4 linked regions of the Oryza sativa Japonica Group genome follow. The protein of the gene in region 4 interacts with the protein of the main gene of each other region in a pairwise test. Links are inferred from orthologs where the notes say so. Each region holds a gene or a part of one and is shown on either strand. Other genes may lie near its edges.

Region 1 (7,968 bases), on a different chromosome or scaffold from region 4:
TGCATGGCTAATCTGTACCGTGTTGTACTTTTCAAACTTAGCGAACTACTCTCTCATGACGTTGATCCCTTTGCATGCATGCGTACGTGTCTATACATTATTTAATTTGTAGTGTATCTCATGGAACAGCTAAACAAAGGATCCCCACTTAACAATGGACGTTACACCTACACAATCAATATGCTTCGTCGGTACTAAGTAGTACGGAGTACGCTGTTTGCCGCTTCGTCCGTTTCATTCATATCGAGGCTCGCATCATTTGCAAGAATGGTGGATGCATATGCATGGATGCGCACGGCGCACCGGCCGGCCGCGTCCTGTGCCTCACGTACGTCCGTGCATGGCAGCTGTCCTTAATTTGCAGCAGATAAAAATTAAACTCAAGCTCTGTTTAGTTCACACTAAAATTAGAAGTTTAGTTAAAATTGAAACGATGTGACGAAAAAGTTGAAAGTTTATATGTATAAGAAAGTTTTGATGTGATGGAAAAGTTAAAAGTTTGAAGAATAATTTTGGAACTAAACACGGCGTCAGGCGGATGATGCACTTCAGTTTGGGAAATCATATGCAGATCGATCCATCCACCGGTACGTGCTATACCAAGTCCTACAGCTCACCCGCCGAAAAAAGAACAAGCACTACAGATCGAAGGCACCGGCCGGCGCCCTGGTGCTGACGTACGCCGGCGCGCGGCCGACACGATGCTCTTCTTGCCAATCACCTTGCTACTCCTTGGTAAGGCAAGGAGCCTTCCCCCACCACGACGGCGACGACGAGCCGATCGATGATGACAGTGAATGCATGGCGGCTAACATTGACATCGCACTGTCCATGGCAAGGAGGCATGCCTGACGTCCGTGAAAACACGTCGGGTTTTCATCGGATGGCCTAATCAGCTAAAGAAAAAGTTAAAATTTAAATTTTCAAACTTAATTTTAAGATATTTTTAATGTAGTTTCTTTTCAGCATTGATTTTTAAGTCACAAAAAACATATATATAAAAGTTTTATCTATAAATTTATTTTTATTTTCTAATAAATCGTTTTGATTTATTAGGAAAATAAAGCCAAACGAGGAGGCCTTCAACATCCATCGATCGGCAGCTGGCCTTCAATTCCATGATCATCGTCGGCCCCGCTGTACGCTGCGAGTGCGAGTGCGAGAGTTCAAACTTTCGAAGCCTTCATGGGGCTCACCTACTGACACGCATACCACTTCTTTAAGGTGGGACCCACCAACTGACACACGAGCACATGTGGGCATGTGGCGCCCTGACCGTCATGGTTTCGAGCTTCAGCTGCTAAACGGTGCACGCTTTTCAAACACTCCCCTCTCGTTTTCCGCGCGTACGCTTTTCAAACTACTAAACATTGTATTTTTTTAAAAAAGTTTCTATACAAAAGTTGTTTAAAAAAAATCATGGTGATATATTTTTGAAAAAAAATTTAGCTAGTACTTAATTAATCACGTGTTAATGAACCGCTCCATTTTCTGTGGATAGGAGATAGTTCCCAACACCCACCTCTAAACACAGCCTGATCATGCTTATGTCTTATTATAAGCCATAAGCGATTAAAATGGATATATAAGTAAAAACTTTTGTATATACTATGTTCTTAGCGATTTAAAAGTTAAAATTTTCAAAAAACATCAAAATCAGATTCAACATTAAGTTTTAAAATTTAATTTTTGGCTTTGGCTTATAAGCCATAAAGTAAACAACGAGGCCTCAAACGCCATGCTAGAGGTTTGAGCGAAGTCTTCTTGGGCTAGGTTTGTTTCTCAGCGTTGGGAACACATTTTCAGCGCACGAAAAACGGAGCAATTCATTAGCGCGTGATTAATGGAGAATTAGCTATTTTTTTTCAAAAATAGATCAATATGATTTTTTAAAGCAACTTTTGTATATAAACTTTTTGCAAAAAAAAGTACCGTTTAGCAGTTGAAAGCTATGTGTAGCTTCGAAGAAATGAGGAAGAAATGTGAAGAGATAGTGTATACAGCGGTGGAAGGAGTGTGTGAGGATGAGGGCAACTGACCAGGGGAAACCGCCCAATGAGCACTTGGAGGTGCCACCGCTGCCACCGAGGAGGACGGTCTTGGTTGAATCCGGCGAGCACTTGGGAGAGCCGTTGCTGTCACAAATGACTTGGTTGACCTCGTCGTCCCGCGAGTTGCACATGCCCGAGCAATCTCATTGACATCATCAGGAAATCAGCGAGCACTGGTAATGACCAGAGAGGCATAGACCGCGATGAGTAAGGGTGATAGTCAGCAACGAGGAGAGGGCGTCGGCGGAGGAGCAGTGTGATTTTGGGGTGGAGCGCAATGCAGCGATTGAGTAGGAGACGAAGGCGTACGATGAAGGGATTTAAAGATCAGGAAAATAAGCTGATCTGTGGATCCAATGACTTATTTATAAATTATTTTCTTTGTTGAGAGGGATTTATCTTAAAATGTGTAATATTGTAAAATTTTATGCAGTGAAGTTAAAGAAAGATGGAGTTAATATATAATGTCAACTTTGGGGCCATCTTAATAAGCTGCATTGCATTAATCTGATGGATCGTAGCTCCATAAGTTTCTTCTTATACGTTTGCTTAGGTGGAGGTTGGGCCTATAGGCTGAGGACATGGTACATTACTCATGTCCTCACCCATGCATGTTCATCCACGAATAGAGACAGCGAATATCTTATCCACGTCTACTTTTCTCTCCACCAACAATTTTCGTTAACTTTGCTATTCCTTCTCTCGCATGCCTCACCTTGCAAAATTGCTTCTCCTTCGATGCAGCAAGCAAAACCACTGGCCCTAAATAGCAGCAAGCACACGGATATTTTTTTTCTCTACTTTGGTGAGACGATGACGACCTATGGAGCCTTCTTCTAGAGCACACATATTCGCGTATTAGTACAAGTATAATAAGGTGATGCGAGTAGAATATAACATTTGTCACATCAAAATTATGCTTAAATGAAAAAGAGAGAAAAAAACATACTCCCTCCGTCCAAAATATAAGCATTTTTGGATCTCGTCACAGTCTTCGAGATGCTATTTTAACCAACAATATCTATAAAAGTAAAATGTTTTAAATAAAAATAGTTGTATATTAGTATGATAGTTTGTTTAATAGCATCAATTTTATATAATTGATTTTTTTGTTCTTTTGCTATTAATAGTTAAAGTTAAAAATATTTGACTTGCTTATATTTTGGGATAAAGGGAGTCCTATAATAGTATAAATTTATAGTCAATTGTAGCATGAGCTCTAATAAACTGTCAGATAGAGAGAGAGGGGGTGGGCATTTATACTCGCTATTACAATGATCGCTGCTTGGTGTTTATTTGTAATGAAGACGAAGATAAAGTTAAGGATACGGAAAAAAAGTATTAGTGCATGGTAAATTGAGTTTTTATTATTATAAATTTGAAAAAAAATGATTTATCTGATATTTCAAAGCAACTTATATTAAAAAATTTCGCAATGAATATATATTGTTCAACAGTTTAAAAATGAGTAGTACTTATTTAACGGAGTACTATGAGCCTGTTTACCACAGCTCCAGCTCCAATTACATCTCTCCTGAAGCTAGATCCACTTAAAATAGAAGTAGAGCTAGGTGGAGGTCTCTTACAAAATAAACTAGAGAGGTGGAGCTGAGTTTTGACAGCTCCATAACTCTATTTCAGATACAACTCCTAGATCTAAATTTTAGAACCACGTAAGGAGTTCATACTTCAGAACCTCTAGGTTGGCCCACCTACTGGCATTGGCCAGCTTACCACTTCCAGGTGGGCCCCGCTTACTGACACGCGTTCCACTTCCAGATGGGACCCACCTACTGACACACTCTCGCACTCACCCAAGGCCAGGATGACCACTAATCAGAGGAGAGGTGACACGTCTCCCTTTTTCTTTCTTCCCCCGCTCCATTTCCGAATCGTCGTCTCGCCTCCACTTCCGACTTCCGAGTCGTCTCGCCTCGCCGGCGCAGGATGGCGGCGGCGACGACCGCCGCGGCGGCGGCGAGGGTGGGGCTGCTGTACGACGAGAGGATGTGCGCGCACGCGACGCCCGACGGGGAGGAGCACCCGGAGAACCCCGAGAGGCTGCGGGCCATCTGGCGCAAGCTCTCCGCCGACGGCGTCGCCTCCAGGTATACGTATACCCCCACCCCCCGCCGCTCGCGGCGTTTTTCTTTTTTGTCCTTAAGGACTTGGGAGAGTCGGATCGGAGTAGCGTGATTTTGCTGGGATCGGCGACGCGCGCGGCGGCTTCGATGCTCTCATGGTTCGGCCGAATTGTTGTGGTAGGGGAGCCGCGGCATGCCTGTAGCCATTTCCGTTCAGTTCTAGCACGGAACCTAGGGTTCGCGCAAATTTTGTCTCGAGACGGTATGTGTTGGTGAATGGTGACTCTAATTGTGTACTTAGGTAAAAACATCCCAAATGCTAGAAGTACCCGAGAAAATCAGGGGGGGAGATGTATTGGTACAGGCTGTGGCTTGAACTACAGTACTGAAGCAATCGTAGCAAACTTGTGTGATTTACGCTGCACAGCAACTTTGATGATACTTCTTGGTTAAGCTTAAACATTAGCATAACAACTTAGGTCACTTAACTTTGCTCATTGCTTTGACTGGCTTATAATTTTGCTGCTGGCAAAGCTTCCTTGGATGTAATGTAGCATAGTTTTCTCCCAGGTGCATGATCATGAAAGCGAAGGAAGCTGAGGACAAGTATATAGCTTCTGTCCATAGCCAGAACCATATCAAGCTGATGAGGAGTATCAGCTCAAAAGAATATGATTCCCGTCGAAACAAGATTGCTAGAAAATTTAATTCCATTTACTTCAACAAGGGCTCCTCAGAGTCTGCTTTTCTTGCAGCTGGTTCTGTGATTGAGGTGATTCAACATTTGACATGAACATTTATTGTGTAGTTGATTGCTCTTTCCTTGTGCTGATTGCTCTGCAAAAAATAATCAACTCATTTGGCAAATAGGTAGCTGAGAAGGTTGCTGCAGGAGAGTTAAGTTCTGCTATTGCTCTAGTCCGACCTCCAGGTCACCATGCTGAACATAATGAGGCAATGGGTTTTTGCCTCTTCAACAATGTAGCAATTGCTGCTGATTATCTCTTAAATGAGAGGGTATGTTGTTGAAACTTGCCTATTTTTTTAGTACCAAAATCTGCTCTCCTTTTTTTTTTCCCTTCGTCATTTCCTATATAGGAACAGGAATGTTTTTATCAGATGCAGTTGAATGAGAAGGTGAACTCATGTTCCTATTTGCCTTTTTTGTTGCAGACTGACTTAGGTATCAAGAAGATATTGATTGTCGATTGGGATGTTCATCATGGAAATGGCACACAAAAGATGTTTTATAGTGATCCTCGTGTATTGTTCTTTTCAGTTCACAGGTATGACAGCCTCTTGACATGGACTTTATAGTTTTTTTTGGGTCTTTTTAGTAGCATCATTACTTTCATGACATGATACTATGATAGTACTAAGTAAAGTCATGGCAGTTTTGTTGCCTTCATTCTGGAGGTTTACCGCACTTTGAATGGTTGTACTACTTTGCCAAACATATCTTTTCCCCTATGGAAGCATTGAATGCTTCTAATTAATATAGAAATTTAAGGGCACTCTCTGTTATTTCCATGGTCCTAACAAACCCGTTTATAATGGACAGATAGTAAATGTATTATTTTTCCTTTAATGAATAGGATTGAATCCCGCATTCCACCAATCCACACTGATTATCGTACATTATTGCTCTTCGAATGAAAAGAAAATGGCATCACCCAAATAATATCTGTTGCTGGATGACATGGTGCACATTGAATAATTTAGGCAGCATTACAGAAATGTAAATGCTTAAGTCGAGTTTTCCCCAAGGAATCTTTTAGAGCAGTTGTAAACATTAATTGTTTTGCTTTGGTCCTATGGCAAAGCTAGAGATGTACTGGTTCAGAAGCATAATCAATTGTATGTCTGATGAGAACCTATTCATTTTAGTGTATGATGCTTGTGTCCTATGTTTCTTTTGTAGATTTGATTATGGCAGCTTCTATCCTGCTGAAGGGGATGCATCTTACTGTTTCATTGGGGAAGGAGATGGTAAAGGGTACAACATTAACGTGCCCTGGGAACATGGAAAATGTGGTGATGCAGATTATATTGCTGCATGGGACCATGTACTACTTCCTGTTGCTGAAGCATTTAACCCTGATATAGTCTTGGTGTCTGCTGGGTTTGATGCAGGTATATAGTTTAAAAGTTCGTAGAACTCTTTTGTGCCAGCAACATACTAACTTTAAAAAGAAACTTATAAAATAAAAATGCAGCCTTTTGTCTTGAATGAAACTGTTTATATAGTGTTAATTTATAGCTTCTCAATTTTATCTCTATGAGCTAGTTGACCGCTGCTTGTGCTAGTAGCATAGTGCAGCTTGCAACCTATTATATCTGATTTCGTTGTGGAATGATAAATGAGATCTTTGCTGCAGAAATATTGAAAAAAAAATCTCTAAGAGTTTGTTTTATAAGACTGTTACTACATGATAACAGAGCCTAAACTTCTGGTATATCTAATACAGTACTAGATCATATATGTGCCGTTGTTCGCTAGTTCTGATTTTTTCTCTACACTGATATTTTGGGTAGCACTGGGTGATCCTCTTGGTGGCTGCTGCATCACTCCCAATGGATATGCTCTGCTACTGACAAAGGTAAGCACTTGCAGAAAAATAACATTCAGTTAGGCTTTCACCACGCCATGCATTTTCCTGTCTCTAAAGGAATAACATTCAGATCAGCTGGGTTAGGTTAATAATATCGAAGTTTTCCAACACAGCAACCAGAAACTTTTTATGTAACTTTTTCCTTAGTAATTTCTTATTGGTATTCTCTGCTGTTAGCTGTTAGGATATTTTCATTTGATCTCTTCCAGTTACTTCATATCTCTTTATGTCTACTGGGCTGTGCTAAAATTATTATTATTATTATTTTTTAAAAAATAGTAATATTTAATTCTGTATGTAAAACCTGCAGCTCTTAGGTTTTGCCCAAGGGAGGATAGTGATGGCTCTTGAAGGAGGCTATAACCTTAGATCCATAGCAAATTCAGTTAGTGCTTGTGCTAAAGTTTTGTTGGGAGACAAGTTCAGATTTGACACTCCTGATATGCAACCGTTTGAATCTTCATGGAGAGTTATACAAGCGGTAATGGTCTGCTTACATTAATTGCTGTCTGATTCCTTACTGTGGATATCTGTAATTATGTTTCCTTCCCCCACACCACTGACCAGGTACGTGATGAATTGAAGACGTTCTGGCCTGTTCTGAGTAATAGATTGCCAGAGAATATATCATTGAGGAGTAGGCCCTCACAAATTGAGGTAGATACTTATTTTTCTTATCTTAAAGACTTTTAACTTGGGATATTCTTGGTCTAATCCCAGATTAATTTGCTCTGACATAAGATGCACCATCGCTTAACCCTGGATTTACTTGTGTTTGCCAGGAGTTTGGCACCCTTTTCTTAGCACTTAATTTATATAGACATGTAATAACAATAGTTGCAGGTTGCACTGTGTATTCATGATGACTTCTGCTACAAAAACAATTGTACTGTAGCTTAACTCCAAAGAAAAATACATGCTGGGCTGTATCAACTCTGTTATGCATTTCAATTGATAGGCTACTTGCTTACAGCCTGTACTTTGATGAACTGTTTAAAAATGCTTAAAAAATACATCATGCATAGACCCATATCCTGGAGATGCTTCATGCCTCTCAACTCTTACAAAGCACAGTTACACTGGTCGACTTTATCAACATCATGCATCTTAATTTGTATTGAGTTAATGATCTTGGTTTTGATTCATTAACATATTTGGCCTGCTGCATGGTGGCTTAATGTATAGCTAAGACAAAATTGTAGGGAAATATCAACATTGTGT
Region 2 (6,812 bases), on a different chromosome or scaffold from region 4:
TCTTGCTAAACAGTAAACACACGCTCATTTGTGGTCTTTAGTTTTTTGTGCAACAATCTATTCAGTCAAACATAGTTTTTCCGACCTAATGCTTTATGTCTCTGGTGATTTTTTTTCTCTTCATGTGTAAATGTGTAATGGAGATATTGCCTTTCGTTCTTACTATAAGCTTGGGAAATGGTATAGTATAAAAATGGAACAAGTCCTTATGCGGCCCCTTGCTACGTGCCCCACCTCTCTCTTAATCACATGCAGTTGCAGACTTGCAGGCTGGGAGTGTGTGTTAAAACAAGAGCAGCAAATGCCACATTGACTGCCTTGAATTCATCTTCTTGGCTTTGGTAGCAAAGCTATTGTGCCAGAACCATTGGCTTTGCCTGCTGCAGTGTTTCTTTTGCTTTTGCTGTTTCATCCGCTTTATGCTTCTTAGTGTTCTCTTTGCTATTGCGTGATTTTGTGGAGCAGCAAGCAAAAAATCAGACTGAAACATGTTTTTGATGAATTGTTTGTTGATATGAATTTAACAGTATATCTCATATGACAAACTTCTATTTTTCTAAATAAGTAATGCAAAACATGCATGGTCACAGTTACAATCCAGCATACTTTTAGTTTGGAGAGGTAGGGCATCTTAAGGTTTGTTGAAATATAAGATTTTACAATCTTTCGTGCAGGAACCAGCGGATGCAAGAAGACCAATCTGTACTTGGTCGTCGAAGGATTTACTATGATACAAACTGTGGCGAAGCTTTAATTTGCAGTGATAGTGAAGATGAAGCTGTTGAGGACGAGGAAGAGAAAAAGGAGTTCAAGGATTCTGAAGATTGCATAATTCGGTAAATATGCTTTGGACATGCATTTGTTTTCTTTTGCCTTGAACATTCACTAAGGATGCTCAACTTGTTTGACCGTTACAGGCTCATGGGACCAAGATACAGGTGCAGTTACCATAGCACCTGGAGCTTGGGCTCAGTCCATAGAATAACAGATCTGATGACTCTGTAGTAATAGTTTCATGGAGAAATGCTTTCTTCTGTAAGCATTTTGTCATATTCTCTGTTTTTCTTTTGACTGGGAAAACTACCAGGACTTTGCCTAGTAGTGTAATTTCATTAAAGAATAAAAAATAGTAATATTCTCTTTTTGAAGTCACAATATAACATAGTACAGAAGCAATAGAGAAATGATATTAAATATACTGGTCAAGTAACATTTGGTATGAAATATTCCCAAGAGATTATTTAGTAAAACTACATTATTAAAAACTTGTAAGAAAAAGGGTTTGGTTTTGGGGCATATGTCTTATATCATTAAATGAAATGGTCATTACCAGTTTTATCTACATTGTTCCAGGGGAAAACCTTGAGCTGGTCACACTGCATATTTGACCTGGTTTTGTTTTGTGCAACCCTTGCACAAGCAAGAAAAGTATGGTTACAGCATTAATCTGAGTTGTTTGTGGATTAATTTAGACCTTAAACATCATAGATCACAATAATTTGGTTTCTCCTGTATGGAATTCTTCCACTTAAGGGTGATTTTGTGCAATGATTGCCAGGATGACCATTCAAGAATGTGGCATGTCTGATGCTGTGCTTGAAACTCTAGCTCGAGATATCGAAAGGGCTCCTGATGATATAAAGGTTCATACAACATTTATTCAATCTCACGTCACATTTGCATTTGATCCATTTGGGATTTTCCTCTTCCAACTTATTGTTTCATTTCTGAAAAATTAAATTACGTGTCTATTTTCCAGGCCAGGTATGAGATCCTACAAGGGGAGAAACCTGAGGGTTCTTCCAAGAAAGTGTCTGAACTTAATGTCAAAATGGAAGACGTGTACGGTGATAAAGATCTGGATGCAGCATTGGATTCCTTTGACAATCTCTTTTGTCGCCGATGTTTGGTACGTTTTCTGTTAATTGTCATGTGTGTTTTACATAATATCTCTGGTTTACTGATGAAACATTCTGCTCATTTTGATGTTGGAAGGTTTTTGATTGCAAGCTACATGGGTGTTCTCAAGATTTAGTATTTCCGGTAATTTTCAAACCAATGAGTTATTTCCTAAACTTGTGTGTTGTTCTAATTAGTGTCCTTTTCGTATAGACTGAAAAGCAGGCACCATTGTGCAGCTCGGATGAGGGTACACCATGTGGTATTCACTGTTACAAACTGGTCTGTATTTTATAGGCATATGACTGTGGAAAAGCAGCTCTTCTTTTATGATGATTTAGATATCCGAAACATAAGCATATGCCGTTTTGCTGATCTTTACCTCATTTATAATCTTTTTGTCAGGTCTCTAAACCAGATGCTATCATGGAGATTGATTCTCATTTGCTTGTTGATGTTGAGGAGCCAACATCGGACAATCTAAAGGATCAGATAGGGTCAAATAAGAAAAAGCTTGGTTCTAGTGGGCAGAAAACAAAATCTCAACAAAGTGAAAGTTCTTCAACTGCAAGGGTTTCCTCAGAAAGCAGTGAGTCTGAAGTACAACTGTTAAGCAATAAATCCCCGCAACACTCTCCTGGCCTCTCAAAAAATAAGCTTGGCGCAAAAGGTGGAATCAAGAAAAGTACTAACAGAAGAATTGCTGAGAGAATTCTAATGAGTGTGAAAAAGGGGCAACAGGAAATGTCACCGGACTCTAATTCTATTGTTAATGGATGCCATTGGCCTAGGGATATGAAGCTTAGATCTGATACTAGGAGTGGAATTAAGGATTCTGTTGTATCCTCACAGTGTAATTCTCCAAGCACAAGGAGTTTTAGAAAGAAGGGCACACTTCAAATGGAGAATAACTCATCTTTTGTGGATGCTCAGAGTGATTCAATGGAGGATACAAATAATGAACATTCAGCAACAGATGGTTGTGATAGTTCAAGGAAAGAGGAATGTGTTGATGAGAGTATATGCAGGCAAGAAGCTCATGGCAGGTCCTGGAAAGTGATTGAGCAAGGGCTTCTATTGAAAGGATTAGAGATTTTTGGAAAGAACAGGTTGGTCCCTTGAAATGATCAGCTTCATATGAATTATTTCACTACCTTCTACTTCATCTTAATATTTGTATACTATTGCACAACTAACTGCTGTATCTGTTCAGGACAGAGTAAACGTTAATGTGTCTAATCCCTCCGTCCCAAAATATAAGGCGTGCTTTGACTTTTAATTGTCAATTTCTCACAAGTATACTGTCTATACTCTATAGTGGAACCAACATCATATGAAAGTACATTCAAATATGAATCTGACAATACCATTTTTATATCACTAAACCTATATATTGTCAGACTAGTTGTGAGTCAAGATTTGTAAAATTTGAATTTTAAAATGCGTGCACACCTTATATTTTGGGGTGGAGGGATTAACCTTTCAGTTCAGCACAAGAAACTGACTATGCTTTCTTTTAATATATCTGTATTACTAAAAGTATTCAACACAAATGTCTATATTTAAAGCAAATGCTCTTGCATCATAATTAGACATCCCCGAAACTATATTCTTATACTACTACATTTCAAGTAAAAGCTGTAACATGAAGATACAATCTACAATTTGTCATGCATAACGTATTGGAATGCGGAATTAACTGGAATTTCTAATGTTTGCATCATTTAGTATCTAGTTGTGTTAGTTATAGCGTTTCATGTACAAGAAATTCTGATGTATGTTCATTTCAAATGCCTTAAAAACTCATTCCTGTTTTCTTTGGATGTCTTGCAAGCATATTGGAAATGTTCTTTATCCTTTCTATAATGAGTAGAATACCTTGTTTTCCCTAATTTGAATAGTCATACTGAGCCCTTGTTTTTCCTATGTTGAAGTTGTTTAATTGCTCGGAACCTTCTGGGTGGGATGAAAACATGCACAGATGTTTTTCAGTATATGAATTACATTGAAAACAGCAGTGCATCTGGAGCTCTTAGTGGTGTTGATTCTCTTGTTAAAGGATATATGAAGGTAGGATTCATCATAAAGCTCATTTACTTGTATTTTCCCAAGGTTTCATCTTACTTTAATGCTTGAACTCCCAGGGTAATGAATTACGGACAAGATCAAGATTTGTGAGAAGGCGAGGAAGGGTCCGCCGTTTGAAGTACACCTGGAAAACTGCAGGCTACCATTTTATAAGGAAAAGGATTACAGAAAGGAAGGATCAGCCTTGTCGACAATACACTCCTTGTGGTTGCCAGTCTGCATGTGGGAAGCAATGTCCATGTCTCACAAATGGTACCTGCTGTGAGAAATACTGTGGGTGAGCTACTTCAATTATTCATATTGCAGACTCCGAGAACATTTTTTCTTCTAGATATTAATAATGTTGCTTATGAAAACAAAACTGTGTAGATGTATACAATTTCAATATTGTTTGGTTAGTGCCGACCAATTATGTCGTATGATCACATCTTAGTTTTGCAATCATTGCTGCTTACTGAAAAGGAAAGGAAAATAAAACCTAGGAGGAACTAGGCACCCTTTCAATTAAGAGGAAAACAGGCACCAAATTTCTAGTTGAAGAGGACTTGAACCTTGATGGTGGGAGAGTGAGGGTGTAAACTCCGCATTTCTCACCCAAATGGTGAATCAAACACATGCTTCTCTTTTGTTCTGTGTGCTCTTTTGGCTATTAGCTATTACTTATTTTGATAATTTATAATTTTAATTGGAATAAATGATGCAAACACATGGAGTGCAAATGTTTGCTGTCCGCATCCTGCTGATGCAAGTTGAAGTAATCCTTTCTGCGTTGCAGGTGCCCGAAAATGTGCAAGAATCGCTTCCGAGGTTGCCATTGCGCAAAGAGTCAGTGTCGCAGCCGGCAGTGTCCATGCTTTGCTGCTGACAGGGAATGTGATCCTGATGTGTGTAGAAACTGCTGGGTAGGGTATGTATTTTAAATTCTGATGACCCTTTGAATGATTTTGCTAGTTAATGCACATTTGTATATCTTAGAGAAAGGCACCAACTATAATGTGCTTTTCATTCTTTGCACTTCTCCAACCTTACATCTACCTTGAAAGTTGAGAAATTACCACCTATGCCTGCACTTGAAGGATGGAATTTTGATGGATGATGGATTTATCCTTAAGTGCAGGAAGAATCTTGCATATGTATATTCCAGTATCTGAAGATACGGAGTTCTGCAGTAAAATATCTTAATGGTAGAATTGAATTTAATTAATATAATCATATCAATTGCTTGCCCAACAGTCCCAATAGGCAATAGCTACATTCCACAATTAAAAAAATGGTGCAATAATAATAATTTGACATTTCCTTCTCATACCATTTGCTAGCATACTTGATAGTGTGTGCCAGCACATTGACAATTGATATTCTATATCTAAATTATTTATAACAATATCTGAGTTTTATAGGAGTGTTTACCAGGAGTTAATCCATGAAAAATGTATCAATGATGGGGGAGTTTAATTTGAATTTGTTATGAACGAGCTTCTAATGGTAGGAAATGAAATTTTAGATACTGTAAGTTGTTAGGCAAACACCAAAGATGAGTATATTATCCGGCCAGTGTGTAAATCCAATCATGATCCTTTTTCACTCCATGGAACCTTAAATATGCTTTCTGTTATTCATTGTTGAAATAGTCTGTTATTCAATTTCAATTACTGTTTCTTCATCCCTAATTTTTCTAGAACAAAGCGCCAGTACATTGAACTTCTATTTTTCTACCTGTACTTTCTATTGTGCAGGTGCGGTGATGGTACATTGGGAGTCCCTAACCAAAGAGGTGATAATTATGAATGCCGGAACATGAAACTGCTGCTTAAACAGCAACAAAGGGTAAACCTTTTGCACTTTGATTTATTCATGCTATTGCACCTTGGTTATAATTTCGTCAAGCCTATCGATTTTTTATGCCTGCTTGGCCCTTCCATTTGCCTTTATTCGATGCTTTGATATTTTTGTGTGAGGAGGCTTGAGGTCTAAGTTAATTACCCAGCAGTACTTCTCAATAGTTTTATTCTTTTTTTTTAATATTTTTCACGTGAGTTCAAATTCCAGTTGTCTAAATACAAAAGATCTTAAGTTTAATACCAAAGAAACTAGTTAGAGTAACTATATTCCAAAACAGGCAATGAACTATGAACCAAAAAACTTCCCATTAGCAGGAAAATAATTGCATAAAGTATCTATCGATTATGTTGGTGAATTTATGAAACACCAGGGGGTGTTACTTCATTTTCTATTACAGGTCCTATTCCATCTCTAAATATCTGTAAATAGTATTGACTTGCTATGTGCACTCTTCAGGTCTTACTTGGGAGATCTGATGTTTCTGGCTGGGGAGCTTTCCTCAAGGTAAGATTTCTCTATTGACCCTTTTCCTCCCTCATAGGACGTACCCTCATCTAACTAGTCCTTTTCCTAAATCTTCAGAATAGTGTTGGGAAGCACGAGTATCTTGGCGAGTACACTGGGGAGCTTATCTCCCATAAAGAAGCTGACAAGCGTGGAAAGATATATGACCGTGAGAATTCATCGTTCCTTTTCAACTTGAACAATGAGGTGAGTGCAAAGACACCCCGCAAATTACGGTCTGCAAGCATTCAGGATTGCATACTGTACTGATTTGACTAGCCTAATGTCATCCTTTTGCGTGAACCGAGTTGTTTACATCCCCAACCCACTGTTGTTCAATATCGCGCGATTTATGATCCGCTGCAGTGTTTTCGCTGTTTTCGCCAGTACCGGATGCTCACTCACTCACTTTACCCTCTCGATGAATGCAGTACGTTCTTGATGCCTACAGAATGGGCGACAAGCTGAAGTTCGCCAAC
Region 3 (6,753 bases), on a different chromosome or scaffold from region 4:
TTCTGTTCTTTAAAATTTAATGAGCTCTCCCTTTTGCTGTTCATGTTAGCACCCTGGCATCAGAGCTTGAGTCTTATTTGTGGTTCTAACTAAAGACTTGCTTGTTCACCTAAGATTTCTTGAAGTCTAATCATTTTTTATTTTCATGCACTCTACTCTGTGCAGGAGGCATGCTCTCTACTTCCCAAGATTTCTTGCAAGGAAACACATCCGAAGATAGCACAAGTTCTTCTGGAGCGTCATAAACCTGATGTGGCACTGGTTGTGCTAAAGTGCACAGGGCGTGATACCTTCTCTTCTGCTGCTAACATCGAGAAAGATGACACAGAATCTCTTAGTGAGGCAGTGACTGCAGTCCGTGTAAGAATTGAGTATGGCCATCTAACAGAAGCATTTATGTACCACAGGAGCTACTGCTCTAAGGTAAAAGAGCAAAGGTCTGCAGATATGTCACATGTTGAAGATGCTAACAGTTACAAAAGCTCTTGGATGTACCATGTTGAGGTCATGATGACCGAGTTTTGTAATATCTGCATCGAGAGGAACTTTGTTGATAGAATGATTGATCTGCCTTGGGATTCTGAGGAAGGGAAACATCTTCATAAGTCGCTCCTTGACTGTGCTCGTGAAATGCCCATGGAGCCATGTGGTAGTCTACTTGTTGTTTTCTACCTCCAGGTAAAAAACCCACCCACCCTACCACCACCACAGAGAGAGAGAGATAGAGTTCCATTACAGGAGTTACTCATGTGCGTGCAACCTGCATAAATTGGAGTACAAATAGAAAATTTTCATCTAAGTCATTGCTCATATATTTACCAACTATTTACCTTCATTTTGAGTGCTAGGTACATTGAAGGTATGATAAAAGTAGTTCGAATTCAAAGTGTTAAATCATAGCATCTGCTGCAGTGGCAGCTCTTTTTCTTGTATATGAAGTAGTTTATGTTTACTATTGGCATACTCAGGCTCAAGATAGAAAAAATGATGCTAATGAGTTCCTACATTCAGAAACACTCTGTGTAACTGAATGATAGATATAGCAGAAGATTGATCAAGGGTGTTTGAAGGGTCTATAATCAGTTAACATTGTTGCATATCACCCAACTTCTGTACATCAAATTTATGCACGGCGTTCTAATTTTTGTAGTGTAACAAGATTATATTACTACAAGGTGATACCATCAATCTAAATAACAGCCACAAACTGCTAAGATATGCACAATTTTCTACCTTATTATAGCAAGGAACCTTCAGAAGGTGAAACTGAGGATATTTTTTTTCTGCTTCTTCTGTTAGCGTTATCGGTATTTGGAAGCATATGAGGTCGATCGTAGTCTTCAAAGCTTTGAGCAGAATGCATTGGAAACTGCTAGTGAAGAAAAAGCATCCAAAATCAGAACAATTGCTCAGTGGAGACAAAGTTTGGTTGTAAGTGCTTAGCTTTTACACTTTGATTCTTTTGACGTGCCTATTTAAATTCTTATTATTCTGGTAGTCATGCCGCATGAGTTGCTGGGGGGCTCTTCATAATTCTAGTGATTCTACCATGCCATAAAATGTATATCCATACGTGATATACTGTAACTACTGTACTATACACTTTATTCTGGATCAATGGAAGAAGCCTAATAATTTTTCAAACATATAATCTGCTCTATTGCTTGTCTGCATATTGTTTCTGATATGCATATGCTAATATGCAACACTTCAATATTTTTTTCTTGTATATGCAGACTAAATGCATTGAGATGCTTCCTGAGGCTGAGAGGGAGGATATGAGAACCATTGGCAGTGCAGAGAGAAACCAATTTGCTGTACAAACTATGCAAAACTCTTCTCCAGCTAATCACATAGTCAAATCACCAAATCCTGTCATTGCATTTAGCTTATCGGCCACCCCTATTCCTCAGAAGAAGTCAAGCCCTCTCCAATCAAGAAATATCAATGTGTTGAATGATTCTGTTGGCCTTAACAGCAGTGCCCGTTCAGAGTTTGGCAGAAAGGTTCCATCTATCCTCCAATGCAGACCAGTTCCCCTGAGTTCACCTATATCCAATGTGAGATCAACTGCAGGGGGTCTATTCCCCTCCATGGGACAGAATGGTGAAGGTCCATATTTAAAGGGGACTAAAGAACTCAGTTTTACGAAAGGAGAGTCTGGTTTAAAAAAGGGAACTAGACCTGCTGGTTATGATTCACTCCCTATGTATTTCAACATGGGTTCTGTTGATACACCTATGAAGGAGTACCGATCAAGTTTGTTGAAGACTGAGGTTAACAAAACCACTCCTTTTCAAGTAAAAGATTCTGTCGGAAAGGGGGAGTTTGACTTCGGTTCACGTGCTGAGAAACCTTTCATCTTAAGTGGCACAGGTGCTGGTCAAAATGGTCACTCAAAGATATCCGATAATGCTGGTTTTCATGAGGTTCACATCCAGAAAACAAAAGTACCTCCTAAAGAGAATGTTCTCAGGTAATCATGATTCTGTACCTTGACAATCTATTTCGTACTTTAATTCTGATGTCTACCTGTTGGTAGCTGACGCTGTAGCTCATGAGATATAGTATGATGTAGAATCAAAGGTCTATAGATGAACGGCTTCTATTGACTGGTACTAATGAGTGGTCTATGGTATATACCCTTGTTGAAAAGTTATGGCCCATGGGTGGTTCCTACTGTGAACCATTTTTTTTCCAGTGCAGAAATGCTTCATAGATTTGGAAATAGGCACTAAGAACGCCAGGTTTTACTGTTCATTGTTTTCATTTGATTTTTTTTTAAAAATAGCTAGCTGGTTAGACTATCTGGAACCGACCGTAATGTCTGGTTCCCAACGGGATTATGGTCCCTGGTCTGTATTGGTTCTCTCCCATTTGTGATACCTGCTAGTCCACTGTTTTCCAAGACAATCACAAGGAAGCTGGATACATCGATATTTTGTAGGGAACCAAACACTTATAAGCTATACTTGTTTGAGAGTCAAGAACTTGGCCAGAGTACACCTAGATCATTCATAGATTCCCTAATAAAGGTTAGGTTTTAGTTCTTTTCCCCCAGTGATTTTGGAGTATTGGATATTTGCCCCAGCAGCCCCTTAACTGGCGGTTGCCTGAACCACAAATGTGATGCTATGGTAAATGGAATGTTATCACTACACAATAGTGTTTTTTAAATCAAATTGTTACACAATAATGTACCGTGATCTTTTATATCATGTGCAGCTTTGGTAAGAAATCTTCAGTTGATGAAGCACCACCTGGGAAAGGTGTGTCAAGGTGGAGATCCGATGAGTCTAGTGAAGACGAAGATGATAAAAGAACAAGTGGGTATATGGAGAGTGGAGCTTCACTTGCTACTCGAAGACGAGCCAGATTTTCTAGAAGATGATATATTCCATCTGGTCCAGGTGTTTTGATCGCGCGCAGGGGACATCTTGTCGAATTCTTTTCCAGACATAATACTTACACCCCAAATGTAACTGCGATTTGTTTGAGGAAAGGTGCAACTTACCCAATGTCTTGGGGGAAAAATTGTGGCAACTATATTGCAAAATTTTGGTGTGCCATGGCCGCAATGATGTATTGTAACTAAAGTAAATCGATATGTGTGTTGCATCAAAATAGTTTGGCATTTAAAGCTCACAAGTTCTTTATGTTTACTCTCTGTTCCTGTGATTTTAGCACATCAGAAAATCCCGGAGAAAACAATGAGTATTATTGGAGAAAACAATATACTACTACCTACGTTTCAGGTTATAAGACTTTCTAGCATTGCACATATTCATATAGATGTTAATGAATCTAGGCACATATATATGTCTAAATTCATTAACATATACTCCCTCCTTCCAAAAATCTGAGTCATATTTCTTTTTACAGCAAGATAAGAAGCAATTAATTCATTTACCAATGATAAAACCAATGAACATGTAACCAATAAGTATTAAAATGGTTTCTTGGGTTTCTATCAACAATTTAATTTAGCATATAATGGCTATAAATAGGACTTAGACTTTTGGAAAACCAAATAATAAAATAGGTCTCAGAATTTTGGAATGAGAGAGTATATGAATATGGGCAATATGAAAGTCTTATAATATGAAACGGATAAAGTATGTACTATGATGGCTGCCATCTACTATCCTTACTTTGCTGAGTATATGCTAGTTTTTTTTTTTACATTATATGCTACTCCCTCCATCCTATGATATGAATTTTGTTAGGATGTGACACTCCCTGTTTAGATTCGTAGTACTAGTATGTGTTACATCCCACCAGAATCACTTATATTATGAGACGGAGTGAGTAGTTTGCTGAAACGCAAGAACATACTCTCTTCATCTCTCCCTTCCAAAATACTGTAACCGGATCTTCATCCTTTCGTCCTACAATACAGTAACCGGATAGAGTAAAATAAAGTGATTATCTCCTCGGCAAAATCTAAAAATTAGGAGGGTCCAATCATCCAATTAAATCCAGTGGCTCATCCATTCTTCATTTATATTTAAAAGTGATGATACATTGAACCATAGAAATGGGAAATGGCCGTGCTGCAGAAGATGAGGTCGGATCAAATGCGGGACCGGGTTGTTGAAGAACGGACAAGGAAGATGTCGCCGTCCTTTTGATATGTGTTTATTGATAAGCCGGTCAGTTCATCCGTACAGTATTTGGTTTTCTTTTCTGTGTGCTGGGCGAACGGCTTTTGCCAGCAGCTTGTGCATCGTAACCATTTTCTGTGGGCTGCTTCACGCCTGCTAATTATTGCTGACAAAGGAATTTGTTCCTTTTTGTTCGGTAAGGCAACCCACCAAAAAGAATAAAAGATGATGAAATGGTAGGTAGATAAATTAATCCTTAACTCCGCTAAAGATTAAAAGATGATGTAATGGTAGGTAGATAATTAAGCCTTCACATTATAGATTCTCATTGATTCGCTTATGCGCTGAAATTAAATTTTACAACCTTTGAATTTGATTTCTTTTTTTTATCATAGTTTATTTTACAACATTTCCTTTTAAGTTGCTAAGAATACATATACTCACAAATAATTTTTTTGTACTCTGATCTGATTGATTGAGTTCTGTTGATAGGGTTTGATGCCTCTCAAGTTTCAATTTGCTGATGGATGTACCGCTGCGGTATTTCTCCTGCTGTGTGCGGACGAGTGGATGACTGGCAGCAGCGTGGGTTGCGCCACGTGAGCTGTGCAAATTGCTGTGTGGTTGTGCCACACATGAGTACTTTTCCTCCGTCACATTAAAACCCGACTTAGAATTAGGATAAGAAATAATATAGTATAATAAATATGGACATAATTATTATGTTTATATTCGTTGTACTAAATAATATCTCATCATAATTCTAGGTCAGGTTTTTTTGACGGAAAATTTTCAAACGTACCGATATCATTTTTAATTTTTTTTAAGAAATTACATTATTTTTACTGTAAAATTTAGTTTTTTTAAAAAAATATGTCAATACTATATTGAATGACATTTCCTGAAAAATTAATACAAAATGATATTATTTCCAAATGTCTTCCAGTTGTGCGATTTGCTCGGGGTTCAGCTAGCAAGGACCTAAAACTCTCTGACATGTCGATGACAAAATTGCTGGGGGCGGCGCGAATCGCAATCGGCGCCGGTGTCACCGTATCCATCCGTTGAAGTCTATGGTTATCATGAGAGAATGAGCCGTTTACTTCCCTCCAAAGTTGAAAGTTTGGGTTAAAATTAGTATGATATAACTGAAAAATTGAAAAATTATATATGTATAACATATTGATGTGATGAAAAAAGTTAGAAGTTTAGATCTAAATACAGCCGAAGACCCAAATTCGCACCAAGAATGTCTCTGCATCCCGTCCCGTTTGATTCCGCCGAAGCGTGCTGCATGCCGCGTTCCGCTGCATCTAAAGGCCTACGATGAGGTAGCGTACGTGTGCCGCATGCACGCGTCCTAGCCTCGTACAGCCAAGAGGGATGGGTGTCCATCGCGCGGGACCAATGTTTGAGCGCATCCCAAAATATGTATTGCTTTTTTTTTCTAATCTTTTCGATGAATTGGCATGTCTGTATTTTTTTTTCTAAACTTTGATTTAATTGATAAGATGCTAAATTTGTGATTTCATCTTATCGACCTATATTTTTACAATTTTCACTAAAATAGTATTCTTTTTTTAAAAAAAATTCTAGAGTACGCAGTGTCACAGTGAGACATGTGACAGTGATCGGGCCGCCACCAAATAGAAAAGGTGAACTAATCCTAAAGCACTTAGTGGGCAGTGATCCAACCCCCAACTTGACCAGTGTCGAGCACAAAAGATGCAGGAATCGTAATGAATCCGCGGGACCACGGCCGGCATGGACCCATCCACAGCTAGCTAAGAGCAAGTTCAATACTGTAGCCAATTACTAGCTCCAAATCATTTATAACCAATGTAATAGCCAATTCGTATAATAATCAATTATTATACTATTAATACCTGGTCCTACCTGTCATACACACATTATGTCTTAGAGTCCGTACTGTAGCTGGCTACAAATATGTAGCCCGCTACTATTCTCTCTCTTTCTTTATCTTTTTAAAATATGTTTATAGCTGGCTTACAGCATGCTACTGCACCTTCTCTAAAAGCAAGTTTAATAGTATAGCCAACTACTGGCTCTAATTTATCATTAGCCAATTTAATAGCTCATTCATATAATAGTTACATATTATACTATTAATACCTGGTATCACTTATCA
Region 4 (7,904 bases):
ACCAAATGTGCATAAAAAATATAGTAACAATAAATATCTGTACATGCCTGAACACAAAGAACAGCAGCTTTATGACCCTCAAATTTGTGAACTGGAATGCCAGCTCCTCCAGAACCCAGATTTCTCCGGTCCCACATACGGACAGAATTATCCGCAGAACTGAATACGAAAAGAAACCATCTTACTCAAATGTGTAAATAGCTAAACCCACTATCAAGAAGTGTATCCACGGCTTCTTGTACCAAATGAACACTAAAGAACATGTTACATATTATTTAGAATTTAGAAACATTTCATGCCATCATACCCAGTTAAGATATAGTTAACATCATGGAGGTTCCAGTCAACACAATGAACATCACCACCATGAGCTTTCTCAACCTGGAAATGAAGAATAAACCAGTTTCAACATGGTGCATAGAATTGAGCTGCTCATTTTCACGTAAAGCATCATTAATCTGCTTAAAATGGAGAAGAGCACCACCTTAACAGCTGGGCCTGTACCACTCCGGGCATCCCAAAGAATAAGACAAGAATCATCGCCTACACTACAAAACTCCTGTGCACTTCAAAAAATAAAAAAAAATAAACTGTGAAGATAAATTGATAGAAGTATAGATCATACAATATCAAAATATAGCATGCATTCCAAGTTCCCAGCAGATGTTCACAATAATGATAGCTGCTATTGTTTTATCATCATAAAGAACGACTATTAGCCAAGACAAAAACTTTAGGCCATGCAAACCACTGAAGCTCATAGTCCAAACAACATATACACATGCTAGAGAGACAACATTTAATAACATGAAGGGGAAGGTGCAATACCTAGAAGGGCAGAACTGGACATCTTCAACAGTACTGTCGTGGCCAAGAAAGATACCACGAGGATCAACTTTAGGACTATCCTTATCATTTGCAGTTTTTCCCTTGCTTCCTGATGCCCCTGGAGAAGATTCAGTTTTCGAGGAATCTCCCAGTGCAGATATGTGGTCTTGGATGCTCCACCATACAACAGATTTGTCTTTTCCTATTACAATTCGTATTGAAGTCCAAGTTATCACAGCAGCACATTGAGTCGAGAGAAAAAACGTGTCCCCTGAACTTGGCAACAAAACTTCCAAGTCTATAAACTTTAGCAAGTGATTCAAGTTAGGCCCAAACCCAAGCTAGCTAGCAGCTGGTTTACATAGTAATCAATATGCCTAATTTAGTGATTGGCCTCTATTCTTTTTGTTATTCTGCACGTTAAAATGGTGCTGTCACCTCCATCTGCAAGCTAGTTTAGGCATGGACCTATCTTGACTCACATGTACAAGATCCAACAGAACAAAACAAAGCCAGTTCTCAACTTCAAGGACCCTTGCACACATCAAAATCGAACACTGAAGAGGTGAAGACCATGAAAAGTCAACAATATCAACCGGAAAATAATTTAGGGGTAATTGTTAAGGATAACACACATGCGCACACAAAAAAGTCTTGACACCAGAACAATATGTGAATAAATACAAAAGGTGTGAGGGGTATAAACTAGAAAGATTTAAACATACAAGAAGACAAAATATTGCTAACCTCCAGATAACACATATGGCTCAGCTGGGCACATAGCAAGCGCAAACTCAGCAATATCCTTATGTCCTCTTAATATCTGTCAAAACAGTTTAAGCTACTAAGCCACAAGTGTGAAAAGGGAACTCGAACTATGAAAGATGAAAACCTTTCAATATATTCTATGATTCCATAACACAGTTTCTTAGGACTTGTGTGCAGATACACCAGATGAAGCTGCAATTTCAGCTTCTCAAAATGATATAGGTTGAGAATGAAAATAAGAAAAGATACCAAATCAGGGCGAGAGTCAGGTGGTACCAAATCAGGACGAGACTCCATCTGTGCCAGTTGAGCTTGTCTATTTGGCTGGGCCTCGACATCCCAAATGAGAACCTGCAAATGAACAAAAAAGCCTTCAGTCTACAAATCCATCACAGAAATGCTTAGGGATTGATGATCACAAGAAACGGGCAGCACTACAAAGTTCTAGGCATACATCTGGGCTGTCGGTATGAGTGGCAATGATCTTACTGTTCTGCGGAAGCTCCCTAATCCTGTTCACCTGTGTCCATGGTAAAACAGAAACAATACATCAACGATTGGGTTAAATAAATGTTGACGGGGACACGGGGTTAAACAAATAAAAGACACATCTCAAGCACTATCTCCAAAAGAAAAGCAAGCCATCTAAACCACTAAAGTTTATAGCCAATATATGCACCACACAACATGGAAGATCTCATACAGAGGCAATGATCCTCAAGTTAAGGAAAGAGAAATCAACAATCACGATTGAATGAGCTTGTACCTCGCCTGGATGAATTATAGTCTTGTACTTCTTTACAAAAGGTGATCGTGCTTCCTCATTGAACTGCAACAAAAAATAAGAGACATCCGGTCAGTTTCATTGTAAACAGACTTCAAGTTAGTGCAAGGAATTCCTAATTCAGGTCTTTTTAAGGCCAATGTAAGGCAGTCTCATACACCGCTATCACAAGACTGAAGTCATGCAAATCTAGATGTTCGAGTTATGACATTTTTATTAATTTAATAAGACAGATTAGGCATAGTAAACTATCAGTTGGTACTACAGGTCCACATCTCTGATTAATGATTACATTAAGATGGGAAGCTGACACCTCGGGTCAATTAAATCTGCAAAAAGGACCAGCTATGTCCATTCATCTCAAACGTAGCATGATTCTGCATTTTACAAACTCAAATGGGTCACTGAAAAAAGTGGAAACCTGAGATATATGTTCAGCAGCTGCAACCCTTGGTTTGACAACTTCACAATTTGCAATAACCAGAGTATTAGGGACAGTCCCATCCGTCTGCAACAATCACATGGTTAGCAAATGCTAAAGTTTAATATCCAACTAAGAATACATAAATTTTCTAGCTAAGAAGACCCATCTGCATATCTGAATTCAAACTTCACCATAAATTTGAGCTTCAAAACATCCCTACAGCAAAAGAAAGAAAAAGAACAACTTATTTTGGGAGCACTTGCCTGCTCTGAAAGGTAAAGACGCTGACGATTCTTGTAGGTAGCCTTCTCAAACTGGGGTCCCCACCTGTTAACAATTAATGATGAGAAGATCAAATCGTTAGTTGCAGAACCACTATTGAAGGTCAAAAGCACGACAGAATCCAACATGCACAGCTTTAAACCGAATTACAAGATGATATGTCACAACTCAACACAGAACAGGCACGGATAAAGCATGACAATCTAACTCTAAAACATAACAGGTAATCATATTATCGACTATATACTATATAGACAAAAATGGACGAGCAGCAACCCAGTAGCCATAAAATCTCGAAGGTAGACTCGCATCAGCAAGCATTACATGAACACGGAAGAATCGACCCTATTATATCGACTATATAGACAGAAATGGACGAACAGCAACCCACTAGCCATAAAATCTCGAAGGGAGACTCGCATCAGCAAGCATTACATGAACACGGAAGAATCGACCCACACCCCCCCCCCCCCAAAAAACACACACACCACCACCACCAAACTCAAACAAACAGTCGCATCCCACAAAACCTCCCCGTCCCAAAAACCCTAACATCCCAACCGGGGCCGGGACATCCTCACCCCACTGCCATCCCCGCCAAATCACCATGCAAGCGACAGATCTGGAGTCACCGAAGCAGAGCCACGCCCTAAAACCCTAGATACAGTCCCCCAAAAACCCTAGCCCGAAATGGATCTCCACGGAGGACGATGGCTACGAGACGCGCGGGAAACCGCCGGAAGGGAGGAAGGAAGGGAGGAGATGCGGGGAATTTTACCGGCAGGAGAGGGACGGCCAGACGAGGTTGTGGTTGGCGAACCAGTCGTAGAGCACCGGGATGAGCGACTTCCACTGCGCGTAGCGCTCGTCCACCGCCGCCCTCGACCCCTTCTCCTTCATCTCCAGCGCGCCCTTCGCCGCTCGCTGGCGCCCGCCGCCGCCGCCGTCGCCCGCTCCCGCCTCCGAACCCCCTCGCGCTGTCACGCTCTCTCTGTCGTATGAGGAGCGTTTGCTCTGGACCCTTGCGCGTGGCTCCCGCTCAGAGATGCCACCCCTCTTGTGCCCGAATGCAAGGGCAGAGCAGAGCATCCAAGGCTTGAAGCGGTCGAAACAAATGCGGCGCTGTGGGCTGGGCCCATTTGTATTGGGCCAACGGATGAATAGTGTGGGATAGGCCCATTTCTATCTGGGCGTAAAATGTCGGTTAGATAGAACTGGGTTTTTTTAAGAAAATAAAGGTGGTGTTTGAATCTCCTGAAGATGAAGATGAAGATTAAAATTAAGTGTTTCACACAAAATGGAGTGGTAATAATGTGTGATTAATTAAGTTTTAATTATTACAAACTTAAAAAACGGATTGATTTGATATTTTAGAACAACCTTTTCACACGAAACGTATCGTTTAACAGTTTGAAAAGCGTGCCACGAGTATCCAAAATTTAATCCAAAAGTTGTTGGAGAAAAGAACAGGGCATACACTCACAGCTATCATATAAACACGTCCGAAAAACTAAACCAGTATATCTTGAGATAGAACTGATATTGATAGTACTCCCTCCGTCCTAAAATATAAGCACAGGTTCTTAGCTAAAAATGCTTATATTTTGGGACGGAGGTAGTAGATGGTAGCATAAGCTATCTGTACTAAGGTTGTGTTTGTTTATTTATGATGACGCTCTCTCTCATGGCCTGATCTTCTGGTGAGAGGATAACTCTCACTTTGATCAGTGTGACGTTTGTGACGTAGCTATCAACCAGAGCAAGTCGAGGACGCCGTGCAAATCGGTACACCACAAACGATGTCATACTAACCGTGACATATGGTTGATGATCCCTGCAATGCAAACGAGTGAACATTGCAAGAATAAGATAAGATTCAATCTAAATATTGCGGAAAAGTGATTAAGCACAGAGAAATAGTTGTGATTGAAGTGGTAGATCTAATCGAACCAACAAATCAACACACCAACTATTGGGGCTCTGAATTAATAATCGCTGACTAATCGAGTGAGGAACCGGCAAATCAACACGCCAACTATTGGGGGCTCTGAATCAATAGTCGCCAACTAATGAGGACTAGAGACAACATGAAGAGAGAATCTCTTATATACCACTGAAAATTGGTCGGATCTCTTGTATGCCACTGAAAAATGGCTCTTCCCCTATATGCCACTGGTCCAAATTTATGCACCCTCTCATGCCACTCTCGCCTGTTGACCGTTAACTCTCAAGTAAAAAAGATATATTTGCCCTTCTAAGTTTAGGACATGCCTAACAACTCAGAAGGGCAAACATGTCTTTTTTACTTGAGAGTTAACTACCAACACGCAGTCAACAGACGGGAGTGGCATGAGAGGGTGCGTAAATTTGGAACAATGGCATATAAGGGAAGAGCCAATTTTCAATGGCATACAAGGGACCAGACCAATTTCCGGTGGCAAATAAGGGATTCTCTCCAAGGTGAATGACACCTGGCAAAATTCAACTAAACAAAACCCTATTGTTACAGAGGGTGTACATAGACATTTAAAGACGAAAATAAATCTAGGGTTAATTGCTAATTTGTGGAGGTGGAGGGAGACACTTCCGATATGGGCTTAGTCTATTACAAGGCCCAAGGCCCAAGTTCGGTTTCAACAACAATACTGTCTTATTTTGATGATTCCTGTTGACTCGGGATAAATTTGAATATGAGACCGGATGCGTTTGAAAGGTGACGAGATAAGCTTTCCATCAAGTCCATGACCACTCAAATCAGAGTTGGCATGAATGCACTAGGTCCGTTTGAAGTCACTGCTGTCTTCGGAGGTGAACTTGATTCCAAAACTCATTGGACTTTAATATCCTGTAGATCATCCATTCATCCGATGTATTCTTTAGCGATGTTTTATATTTATCATGCTTGATTGTATGCATATACTTGATGGTCACATCAGTTTGTGTTCCCATCTCCTCTCATTCGTTTTCCGCGTGTACGCTTTTGAAACTACTAAATGATGTATTTTGTAAAAAAAAAATCTATAGAAATGTTGTTTTAAAAAATATATTAATCTATTTTTCAAGTTATTTTAATTAATATTTAATTAATTATATGTTAATGAGCTGCTCTGTTTTTCATGTTGGAGGGGAAGGTTGTCAACCAACACTAACGAACCCATCCTAAGGGTTTATTTGGATTATGGGGTAAGAAGAGTGGGACTGGAATAGAAAAATGAGTGAAGGTTATGATCAAAAGGAAGAAACATAATGAATAATGAATGATTAAGATTTATAGATGTCCTTTGACGAGCGAGAAATTATTTAACTAACCTATTAACTAAATATAAGGCCTAAGGTTTATGGTTTCTAAGTCAAATATAAATGGCTGTCAAAAAAATAAAATCAACGTGAACGCGTGGCGACTGAAATCTTGAAATGAGACAGTGTGCCAAACCTGAAAATCGTACTTGGTGGGCATATGTCAATTCTCGATTTTGAATAATCACTCGAAGTCGAAGGAGCAGCATCGTGCTCTAGACGTCGATGTTAGGCATCATGGCACCAATAGTCCGTCCCAAGACCACCGATTTTTTGCATGTTCAGATTATTTTGTCCATAAGAAAATATAGTTTTCGGAATATGTTCACATCCCCCATTTCTCCATGTTTGTTCCTAGAACTTCCTAGCTACTCCTGGCTTGGGAAAAAATTATGGTATCCAACGCACACACCAGATCAAATGGTTTGAAGCTCAAAATAACGTTCCGGGATTCTAAACACCGGCCACGGTGTTGTTCCTCACTTCCTTGCGCGGGGACCGCGCGCCTGACCGCGGTCCGTCTGATGCGCCAGGCAGGATGGCAGCGCGCGACGCACATGCATATGCACGCGCCCCGGCCGATCATCGTCACGCGCCCAGGATCGCATCGGAGCACCGCATGAACTTCCGTTGTTCCGCTGTTCGCGCGCAGGATTCGAGCCGCGATGGGCCACGTACGGGCACCTGCGGGGCTGTGGCTGCGGGCGAACGATCGAGCCGAGAACGCGACAGGCCGATCCGGTCGGCTGACCGATGGATAACCAACGGTTGGGTGGGTCTCTCGTCGACGCAGGCTCGCAGCGTCACGTCGTCGTCGCCGACAGCGACCACCTTTGCTGTCCGTGTCCCCGCCCCCAGCACGTTTCTACTCCTACTCTACTGCTCCACCACCGGCACCAGCAGTCTCGCAACACATCTATGGCCTTATTTGGATCCTCCGAGCTATTAAATAGTCCTTTAAAATCTTACTATTTATGAGTATTAAACTTAGATTACCGATAAAACCGATTCCATAACCCCTAGACTATTTTGCGAGACGAATCTAATGATATATATTAATACATGATTAGCGGCTAATTACTGTAGCATCACTGTAGCAAATTATGGATTAATATACCTCATTAGATTCGTCTCGCAAAATAACCTAGGGGTTATGGAATCGGTTTTATCGGTAATCTAAGTTTAATACTCCTAAATAGTAAGATTCCGGAGGGCTATTTAATAGACCTCCGGATCCAAACAGGGCCTATATTGATGTACCACATGTTAGAACAGGATCCCTGCCCCTTGCTAGCTCCGGAGTACTACTAGCCACGCGTGCTTGCGAGGGTGGATTTCGTACTAGTAGGCGTTGAAGATAAAGCTAATCATTAGCACATGTGGGTTACTATAGTACTTATGGCTAATTATAGACTAATTAGGCTCAAAAGATTCGTCTCACGATTTTTTCCCTAACTGTGTAATTGGTTTTTCTTTTAATCTATATTAATGATACATGCATGCAGGTATCCAAAGATTCGA

Evidence for each region.
Region 1: the proteins of WD-40 repeat-containing protein MSI4 (region 4) and histone deacetylase 5 interact in a two-hybrid assay, tested with the Arabidopsis thaliana proteins (2 studies listed by BioGRID, with this or other methods). The link is inferred for Oryza sativa Japonica Group from reciprocal best matches to the Arabidopsis thaliana genes FVE and HDA05.
Region 2: the proteins of WD-40 repeat-containing protein MSI4 (region 4) and histone-lysine N-methyltransferase CLF-like interact in binary tests that used the Arabidopsis thaliana proteins (3 or more experiments, as listed by UniProt). The link is inferred for Oryza sativa Japonica Group from reciprocal best matches to the Arabidopsis thaliana genes FVE and CLF.
Region 3: the proteins of WD-40 repeat-containing protein MSI4 (region 4) and E3 ubiquitin-protein ligase HOS1 interact in a two-hybrid assay, tested with the Arabidopsis thaliana proteins (2 studies listed by BioGRID, with this or other methods). The link is inferred for Oryza sativa Japonica Group from reciprocal best matches to the Arabidopsis thaliana genes FVE and HOS1.

What each region holds. Positions count from the first base shown.
Region 1 is NC_089041.1:24,812,970-24,820,937, forward strand, and holds the start of histone deacetylase 5, read left to right. Parts: upstream 1-3,929; 5' UTR 3,930-3,998; coding exon 3,999-4,159; intron 4,160-4,705; coding exon 4,706-4,907; intron 4,908-5,005; coding exon 5,006-5,152; intron 5,153-5,308; coding exon 5,309-5,421; intron 5,422-6,056; coding exon 6,057-6,268; intron 6,269-6,670; coding exon 6,671-6,735; intron 6,736-7,057; coding exon 7,058-7,228; intron 7,229-7,314; coding exon 7,315-7,404; intron 7,405-7,968. UniProt on the Arabidopsis thaliana protein: Responsible for the deacetylation of lysine residues on the N-terminal part of the core histones (H2A, H2B, H3 and H4).
Region 2 is NC_089040.1:9,530,753-9,537,564, forward strand, and holds part of histone-lysine N-methyltransferase CLF-like, read left to right. Parts: intron 1-674; coding exon 675-836; intron 837-1,558; coding exon 1,559-1,643; intron 1,644-1,759; coding exon 1,760-1,909; intron 1,910-1,995; coding exon 1,996-2,043; intron 2,044-2,112; coding exon 2,113-2,181; intron 2,182-2,304; coding exon 2,305-3,008; intron 3,009-3,833; coding exon 3,834-3,969; intron 3,970-4,043; coding exon 4,044-4,264; intron 4,265-4,762; coding exon 4,763-4,894; intron 4,895-5,723; coding exon 5,724-5,814; intron 5,815-6,285; coding exon 6,286-6,333; intron 6,334-6,411; coding exon 6,412-6,540; intron 6,541-6,764; coding exon 6,765-6,812. UniProt on the Arabidopsis thaliana protein: Polycomb group (PcG) protein. Catalytic subunit of some PcG multiprotein complex, which methylates 'Lys-27' of histone H3, leading to transcriptional repression of the affected target genes, mainly abscisic acid (ABA) responsive elements.
Region 3 is NC_089037.1:31,094,883-31,101,635, reverse strand, and holds the end of E3 ubiquitin-protein ligase HOS1, read left to right. Parts: intron 1-165; coding exon 166-678; intron 679-1,299; coding exon 1,300-1,431; intron 1,432-1,736; coding exon 1,737-2,476; intron 2,477-3,225; coding exon 3,226-3,391; 3' UTR 3,392-3,662; downstream 3,663-6,753. UniProt on the Arabidopsis thaliana protein: E3 ubiquitin-protein ligase that mediates ubiquitination and subsequent proteasomal degradation of the transcription factor ICE1. Acts as a negative regulator of cold signaling pathways.
Region 4 is NC_089035.1:30,085,641-30,093,544, reverse strand, and holds the start of WD-40 repeat-containing protein MSI4, read right to left. Parts: upstream 4,214-7,904; 5' UTR 4,176-4,213; coding exon 3,865-4,175; intron 3,132-3,864; coding exon 3,068-3,131; intron 2,889-3,067; coding exon 2,802-2,888; intron 2,426-2,801; coding exon 2,363-2,425; intron 2,117-2,362; coding exon 2,051-2,116; intron 1,948-2,050; coding exon 1,846-1,947; intron 1,652-1,845; coding exon 1,576-1,651; intron 1,031-1,575; coding exon 829-1,030; intron 567-828; coding exon 485-566; intron 382-484; coding exon 308-381; intron 160-307; coding exon 48-159; intron 1-47. UniProt on the Arabidopsis thaliana protein: Core histone-binding subunit that may target chromatin assembly factors, chromatin remodeling factors and histone deacetylases to their histone substrates in a manner that is regulated by nucleosomal DNA.